Coturnix japonica: one gene and its partner. The protein of the gene in region 1 purifies or fractionates together with the protein of each later gene. This does not show direct contact. Links are inferred from orthologs where the notes say so. Each region holds a gene or a part of one and is shown on either strand. Other genes may lie near its edges.

Region 1 (4,632 bases):
GGCTGTGACACTGTGTGCCCTGGGCACGGCCGGTAACGGGGCGGTTCCCTAAAGGTTCCACCGCGCTGTGCCTCGTAGCTGTGCTCTACGAGCTCCTGTTTGCGTATAGCGGCCTTATGGGCTGTGACCGTGTGCTGAGCGCAGCCCCCATTTTGTTGGGCTCGCTCCGTGCGCTGCCCGCCGGCTGGGGGCGGTGCTGGGCCGCGGTTGGTGGCCACGAGGCAGCGCCGTGTGTCCGGCCTGCAGCGTGTGGGGCTGCGGGGGAAGCAGCGCTGCGATAACGGGGTTATTCGCGTTATGGCCGTGGGAGTTGGTTGTTTTCGGTGTTATAATGAGCATTTAATAGCGTCACTGAACAAGCAGTGCTCAGTGCAGAAGGTCAGGCAGGTTCACACACCTACTTTCAAAGCCCTGTTTCAGTGCTGACAGCCCAGGCTGGAGCTTAGAGTGTTATGTTCATCCTTTTTGCTCCCGAGCAGCTGTGCCAGCACTAGGAGCCAACTGGCTGTTCAGGAGCCTGTGTTAGGAGCCAAGTGGCTGTATCTGATGTTCAAGAGCCTGTGTTTGGTTGGTGAAAGAGGTGTTATGCAGAGGAGATGGGCCACAGATTGTGAGGGAATGCTGCGGCCCTTCCCTGCTCAGCTGCATCCATGGCCTCGAGTAGAGCCGCACCTCAGCCTGAGCTAATGGAAGGGACTCCAAGTGACTGAGATTAGTTGCAGGGAGAAAATCAGAGCAGGAGCAATACTTCCCATAATAGCCTCGCTTAATTCCCAGGTGGTTGCAGCAGCGATGGCTTTGAGTGTTCTGATAAGAGCCTTACGTGTGTGTGCTCCGTTTTTCTTTAAAGCAGCATTAATGTGGTTTAACTGCAAATATATGGGATATAGGGTTTATGCAGTTAAAGGAGAGAAGCCTGGGCTTGGTCTTTGCGTTCCTTTCTCGCGGGTCGGTCGGATCAGCTCCGCAGCGCTAACGCTCCTCGTGCCCCGGGGCTGTGACTTCCTTAACGAGGCGGAGCGGCGAGTCGGCGTGTTGTGCGACCGTGCACATGTCAGAGCCGCGCCTTTGTTCTCTATGGGGGAAGGCAGCTGAGTTCTGGCTCGAGCGAGCGTGCGCTTTAACTGCAAACTGCGTAGGAAACGTTGTTAAGAATCACACACAGGCTTTATGCTAGAGCCACACCGGCACATGGCTACAGCTGTGTCTGTCTGTGAGTACCAACAGCGAATGGGGTGAGGTCTGTCCCGTTGTTGGTACCGTGCGTTGTTTTGAAGCCGACTGGTTGGGGGTTGGGATCGTTACCGCACTGCCGCGCTGCCCCCAGCGGCCATGCCGCCCTGCCCTGCCCGCTGCCCGTCGCACTGCGCTGCCGGCCCCGCTGGCGGGCTGAGCTCCGTTCCTCGGGCCCTACGCGTGGTGCCAGCAGCGGGGCACGTCGGGCCCCTCGTGCCGACGGGCAGAGCCGGGGCGGGCAGAGCTGAGCCGAGCCCCGCTCGGGCGGGGAGGAGCCGGCGGCGGGAAGTGAGCTCAGGCGCACAGGAAATCCCGCCCGCGCCGCGGCCTGTGTTTGCGCTGCGGGCAGAGAAAGGAGCCGAGCCCCGCAGCGGCCCAGCCGAGCAGCCGCCCGCCCCGTGCCCAGCCATGTCGGACCAGGTACGCGGACGGCCCCGGCCGCGGGGGGAGCGGCGCCACGAAGCCCCGCGGTCCCGCCGCCGGCCGGGAACCGCTCCCTCCGCGCCCCCCCGACCCCCCCGGCATCATCCCCTGCAGACGGCGGGGCCGAGCGGGGCGGGGGTGTCCCGTCGGGGAGCGCGATGGGGGAGGGGGGAACGGCTCCGGCCTCGGTCGGACTCCGCGTCCTGCCCCGCTCCGTCCCCGCTGAGGGTGAATCCCCCCATCCCGCCCCGCTCGGGGCGCTCTCCTCGCGTTAGGGGGAAGGGGCGGCTCGGGATGGGGGCGGCGCGCGGCAGCTGCTGGTTTCCTTTCGCTGCCCGTTGTTGCGGTGGGATGCTGCTCCCCGCAGCGGGCTGGGCCGAGCTTGCCGAGGGCTCCCTTAGGAACGAGGACGGGGGGGCGGCGGGGGTGAACTCTGACTTGCCCGGTTCGGCGTTGTTTGCACGTATGAAACATCCGGTCCTTCACCCAGACCCTGTTTTGCCTCCGCTGGTACGCGGTGATGTTGTCAATTCTGACCCGTCAGCCGGAGACTTCAATAGTTCCTTGTACGGCAAGTTCTTGGCTCGCTCGGCAGGCACACACACACACACACACACACACACACACAGCCCTTTGCTCGCATCCGTCGCGTTGGGCTGTGTGACCTGCTGCCTGGGAGCTACGACAGCGCTCCAGTTCCAATCTGTGCTCTGTTTGACTGCGTCGTTTATAGTACTTTCATATGTCAGTGTTTTCTAACTTTGTCAGGATCGTTTGAATTCTGAGAAATCGACGTTAGCATCTACAAATGTTTCTTGCAGTGCTGTGAAGTCGAGAATAGTAACAGTGCCAGCCAGGGAATTACAGATATCCAAAACTCGATACGCTTTATCTGCTGTGCAGAATAACCTCTATGGGTTGTGAATAGAAATTATTGCTGTACGTGCTGGTGGTCATCCGCTGCTTTTCAGCCCTGTGCAGCTGTGTTGGTGAGGATGCTCCTGCCTCTCTCTGTGAGCGCAGCTGTTGCTGGCACTGATTAGGGCATGTCTCCAGCGCAGGGAGCTGCAGGGAAGTGGCTGCATAGAAGGAAAGCACAAATTCTGAACTAGATTTTGTAGGCTGTTATTCACGTGACCCATTCTGTAGTGCTCTGTGTTTATGAATTAAGGCATGTTTTAACACATAGCAGCTTTCATTAAGTAATTCTTTCTCCAGCCCAGTCCTGCTAAAGCACATACGTGTTTGGAACTGCTTGAAATATGTAAAATTTACTGTATGGGGTTACCTTTTTGGTCTTAGAATAACAGCCCACACTGATTTATTGGAAATAGCTAAGCAAAATGTTGTCATGTATCTGTCTCTGTATTGGGGAGACTGCAGTAAGAGCTTAACAGCTGCCTAATGCCACAATGTGCAGTGAGGCAGAGCTGTAGATAAACCTTGTTTATCAAAGTAATCAGTTGAAATAATATCGACTAGAATAATTTGCCTCTGTATGGGGACTGTTGAATCACAGCCTGAACCACTGTGAGCACCTGGGGAAAGGACCCAGTCAGCCCTGAGTACACAGGTGAAGGCAGTTCAGCTGTGTGACCAGGAAGGGAGAAGCCTGGCTGCAGCTCTGCTAGACCCCATGAAGGGCTGACTGCCACTGGGGAAGGATCTCTTGCTGGACATCCCTCCTTGGTGGAGCTTTCCTCTGCAAACCTGGAATCTTCTGATATGCTGAGTAATCTTCCTTTCCTTTATATCACCTTTCTGTTGTGCTGGTCCTTCCATCATCACACTGTTGTTGTAATGCCTTTCCCATCATATTGATCTGTCCCGTTGCTGCAGCCTCAAATTGGGTGTTGCTTGCAATGTGTTCCGTGTGGCCCTAGAATTAAGTTATTAAGAGGATAGATGCCATTTGACAGTAGTTAGAATTTTGGCCCACCCTTCTAGTATAAATCAAGAAGCATGTTTGGTTTAGCAACTTTATTTCCAATGGCAGATGTACTTTTTTATCATGAAAGTTACTGTAAGAAGGGCAACCTGCAAAAAGGGGCTGCTTGGTGGGTCCGAATAGGAGAGAAGAATGGTTCCCTTCTCTGAAGAATCTTGTGTTGTTTTTGCTGTAGTTGCACACAGGTGTTTGTCTCTTCCCGGACCACGAGTGGAATGCTGCAGCACAGTTTTATACATTCTCTCAGTCCTGCAGCAAATGTCAGAGTTCATTGGCTGGATAATGAAGTGCATTGCAGTTGTATGCATTCTGTAATTCTGGTTTTAAAAAAGCTGGAAGTGACTGGGTATGTTTAGACAGTGAAGCTGAGCACTAGAGAAAACTGGAGGAGGAAGTTTGTAGTACACAAGCTTACAATGCTTGTTTTGTGGTTCTGTTAGCTACAGCAGCAAATACCTGGCACACTCAGTGCAAGAAGCTTTGGGTGCTTTAAGGTCATGAATTCAGTGTTGACATAAATGTGAGACAGTACTGGGGGCCTCAGTTCGTGCTCTTTAGGTGAAAAGGGTTTGACTATGTTTTTGACTATGTTAAATATGTTATGACCTAGTTTTAGCCAAATAGGTTCGACTGGAAAAAAGTCTTTAAAACTTCAGAGATCTAATGGAAAGTTAGAACTGAGCATTGGGGTATTCTTTTGTTTGTGTGTAGTTAGCACTGACAAAATGAAGAGAGGTGTTTTAGGCTTGGAAGGTCTTGTATTGATATCAAACCTTTTGCGTTGTTTTATTAAAGTATTATTCTTGTCAACAAAGGTTTGACCCTGTTTCTCTTTTCCTAAAGTTCTGTCTCAGCACTGACTTTTGTGGGTAATAAATTGCTTGGGCTTTAAACAATCATCTTAATAGTGAGGTGTTTTAGGACTCCGATTCCCTCTGCGTTCCCTACTGCTTGCAGCTCTCCCTATTAGATTTTAGTACTTGAGTCTTCTTTCCCTGAGGATAGAGAACAGGTAATTTAGGAAT
Region 2 (4,075 bases), on another chromosome or scaffold:
GCTGAGACTGCAACAAAGGCTGCTATTGTTCTGTAACCAACAAAGAATGAAAGGACTGGTTTGTTACATTTGGTAACAGTACTTAATTGATAAGCAAAATCAGGGGTTTACATGTAGAACAAGCTGAGGGACATTTCCAAGTACCTCTTAATTGAAAAGGGCTCATTGCAATAAATGCCTATGGATGTATTTGTAAACTTTAGTACTGGGTCACAGGTTAACCAGCTTTGCTTCTGTGGTGTACGGTGTCACAGAATGGTCACTGGTTTTGCTGAGGGGTTTTTCTACTTAGCAATTCAATTACTAACTCACATCTAGGTATTGTGTAAAATACTTGCGTATGTCGAGTTGAAATGGCAGCTCGTTCATCCAGCCGATAACTTCTGGCAGAAAACTTTGCAAGTGCATGCTGCTCCACTTCTAAAGGAGACTTCCCTGTGGAAGCTAAACCTCACAAGTAGCAAACAGTTGTGTTTCAAGAACTGTCACTGAACACGTGCTTATAGATAAATAAGGGAGCAACACACTGCATCCTGGCTAACAGAATCCTTCCAGTGAGTAACCTGCAGAACCTTACATAATAATCTCACACAGTGTTAACAACTATGGTGCTTGTATGGTGTGAAATCACAAACCTCTTGTAGGAAGCAGGGGTCCATCTTGCATCAAGTCAAGCAGCATGGTGACCTTGATTGTTCTCCGTGTTTCATTATAACCTGACCTCTTTACCCATGGTTTCAGATGCTAATTTCCATTTTTTTTCAGAGGAATTTTTTGCCTTCTGCAAGATAAGTTGTAAGTTATAAGTTCTGGGCTTATAAACAAGTCCTTTGTGCTCTCACCGTACTTAAGAGCATGAATAGAAAAAATACATCCAAGTCAGAAGGCTGTATGATGCCGTTGCTGCTCCTCTATCATGGCTGTATTGAGGGAACATAAGATATCAGGGTGAGCCTTGTAGAGCAGCAAGCAAGATGACAGTTGCAGTGGCATCAATGCAGGTGTGCCACAACTAGGAAGGACCATTATGAAGGACAGCTGGGCATTAGATTTATTTGATGTGCTTTTAATACACAATTCTGTATTGAATTCAGAAGCTAAGGGGGAGCTCGTAGATTTGTGGCTCAAGATCTTGGTGAGAATTCAGGTACGTTTTTCCTCTGTTACCTTAAGAGTCAGTCAGAGGACATAATTTTTGCTGTTGGCCACTGTCTGCTCAGGATTTGGCTCAGCAAATCTCAGCATACCTTCTAAGTGATGGTACCTTAATGAATTCATATCAGCTTTGTTTCTTATGGTAGCTCTAGATGGCAGATAAATTTTCTTACGTCTCGGTCTGTCAAGGACAGTCAGTAGGAGTTTAATAGTCTATGCTGTGACTCACTCCATTGTATTCCGCAGCGTTATTTACACGGGTGTAAAGTTAATAGTCTAATCTGTGCAGAATCAGTGTCTCAGAGGGACTGGTTTTCTTTGCAGCAAAGATAGGTGTTGCCACTCAGATAAGATATGAAGATGTTTTACACCTGTCTTTTCAAAAGCTAGTTTGAAAACAAAGAGTAGACGGGTAAAATGATCAGCTCAGGAGAAATATAAATTTCTTTAGGTTTATTTGAATGGAAAGGGGTAGTTCTGATCAGTGTTATTGGAACGATTTCTTAGTATTTCTTCATAAATATCTTTGTTCAAACATTCCCAAATATGAATTACAAAAGCAACGAGTAAGTGAAGAAACAAAGTCAGAATCATCTTCTTCCAACTGGTGCTTATTTTTGTTGAGCAAGGTGAAAAGCAAATTGACTTGAAACCTACAAAATGTTTTCAGTGCAAGGAGCTTCCAAGTCTCATGAAGAATGTAATTGATGAGTAGTGGTTTCTGTCAAGCAGGTAATGTGCATCGACTTGATGGTACTGGAAAAAAGGAGGCATCCTCTGAGAGCTTTCTGTAGGCTCTTTCAGACTTTTTTTGCATAAGAGAAGTGATGAGGGTGGAGTACACTGAAAGATAAGAGGGAAAAATACCACATTACTGTCAGCCAGTGTTACCTCTTCTTTCTTAAGACTTTTTGTAACTTCAGTTGAGCTGTGCTTCCTTTAAAGAAAAGGAAAAAGAAAGAAAGAAAAGAAAAAGAAAGAAAGAAAGAAAGAAAGAAAGAAAGAAAGAAAGAAAGAAAGAAAGAAAGAAAGAAAGAAAGAAAGAAAGAAAGAAAGAAANAAGAAAGAAAGAAAGAAAGAAAGAAAGAAAGAAAGAAAGAAAGAAAGAAAGAAAGAAAGAAAGAAAGAAAGAAAGAAAGAAAGGAAGAAAGAAAAGGAAAAAAAAGAGTAATATCTGCACATTCTTCAAAAGAGAGAACATAACTTTCCCAGTGTAGGTGGTTTATTCCTCATGCCCGTGCATTATGCAAAACTGTTGCTGGCCTTATTACAAACTCTGTTTGTGTGTGGAAAAGTGCACAGATTTCTTAGCAGAGGTTAACTCATTTCTTCTGTGGGAAGCTTTTTATGAGAGCAAACTAAATAATCATTTTCCTTGTTTATCTTTTCCAGTTGCCAGTGTCTGGGAATTTGATTGACCTTTATGGCAACCAAAGCATGCCTCCTCCAGGACTTAACATCAGCAACTCCTGTCCAGCTAATCTTCCTAATATAAAAAGGGAGCTCACAGGTAAATACATCTCAAATATCACCTTAGAGGTATGGTGTAATTGTTTTGAATTCAAGTGATCTTGGACATAATTTCTGTTACAATAAAGAAAATATGGACAAAAAGCTCTGTTTTCCTTTGCAGCCAGTTCTTTAGCAGCAGATGTATTACTTGGTGATACAGCTTGTGTTAGGTGTGGGTTCACTGTGACAAATTAAGACGATGCCCTTAATTATTGCAGTCAGATCTGCTCATTTGAAATGTGTCTTAGGAAACTTGCATGTAACTCTTGCAGTGCTGTCTTCTAGTTTGAACTTATTTCTGTGATCAGTGTTAAACTTTAACAAGTTGACACCTGGAGTCTCTCTGGGATTCATGCTGAGGAATGCTTCATGGTGAGGGTTTCTTCTAGTAGGGGACAGCAACGTACAAATAACTTGTAATGTGGAATTTGGGTGTCAGCATCCTACGCCATGTGAAATGTGACGCTAGAAAGTATTTTGAATTGAGGTGAAAATGAAATGTCCTCTGAAGTTCTTGTCACATCATTTCTTCAAGTAGCAAAGTTGATCTCATCTGAATAAGCTGCAGGAGTTAAGGGGAGGAAATGGGAACATTACTAACTTAGTTTAAAGGATTAGAAGGGAAGCTCTGAGTTCTCAAGCCTAATTTATTTTTGCTGTTTTGTTTTGCCTGTAGATAAAAGGATGTAACCACATGCAGGATATGATATACAAAGCAAACTTGTCTGCAAAAGATAAATGGAGATATGTTGTAGAACCAGTGACAAAGTCACTGTAATATCCACAAGTGTTTGTTCTTAAGCCCAGCTGAGAGTCGTGCTATATGCTGACCTGGTAGAGGCATAGTTTTCTTGTCTATCTTTCAGTTGTGAAAACTCACAGGCTGACTCAGTTGCAGAGCAGGTTCTGGTCAGGAATTAGTTTAAGTAGAGCAATTCTAATAGCTCAGGAGTCAGCTTCTCAGGAGGAAATGCCACATTTCTGAGCTGGTGGATATTTGTGTTTATATAACAGCACAGAATTTGAGTTCAGTGCCAAAGGAAGATACAGTAACTGCACAGTGACTTGTGGAAGTTAGAAAAACTTGGTCACCATATTAGACTATGTTAAGAGGATGGTGGGAGGGAATGACATCTGCTCAAGGTCCTAAGTTACGCGCGACTTAATTGCTCCAGTTATATAAAGCTACAGGTGGCTGTAGACTGAGCTAAATGCCCAGCTTGCCAGATATCTAGACTGGTGGATTCACTACAGATGATTGTGTGAGACTTTGGGTGAAGAAGGCAGAAAAAGAGGAGATTAATGGGAGAAATGGTTTCATGGAAGTCCTTAATTAGTCAAAATAACATACAATGTCAGTGTTCAGCCTTTACCTGTAGACAGAAATGGTTTAGGTGAATGCTTTTTC

Evidence for each region. Proteins that work in one complex are often made in the same cells at the same time.
Region 2: the proteins of SUMO1 (region 1) and MITF purify together in Homo sapiens (affinity purification with western blotting; 3 studies listed by BioGRID and IntAct, with this or other methods). This does not show direct contact. The link is inferred for Coturnix japonica from reciprocal best matches to the Homo sapiens genes SUMO1 and MITF.

What each region holds. Positions count from the first base shown.
Region 1 is NC_029522.1:10,246,531-10,251,162, reverse strand, and holds the start of SUMO1 (small ubiquitin-related modifier 1), read left to right. Parts: upstream 1-1,523; 5' UTR 1,524-1,644; coding exon 1,645-1,656; intron 1,657-4,632. UniProt on the Homo sapiens protein: Ubiquitin-like protein that can be covalently attached to proteins as a monomer or a lysine-linked polymer.
Region 2 is NC_029527.1:12,975,633-12,979,707, forward strand, and holds part of MITF (microphthalmia-associated transcription factor), read left to right. Parts: intron 1-2,547; coding exon 2,548-2,665; intron 2,666-4,075. UniProt on the Homo sapiens protein: Transcription factor that acts as a master regulator of melanocyte survival and differentiation as well as melanosome biogenesis.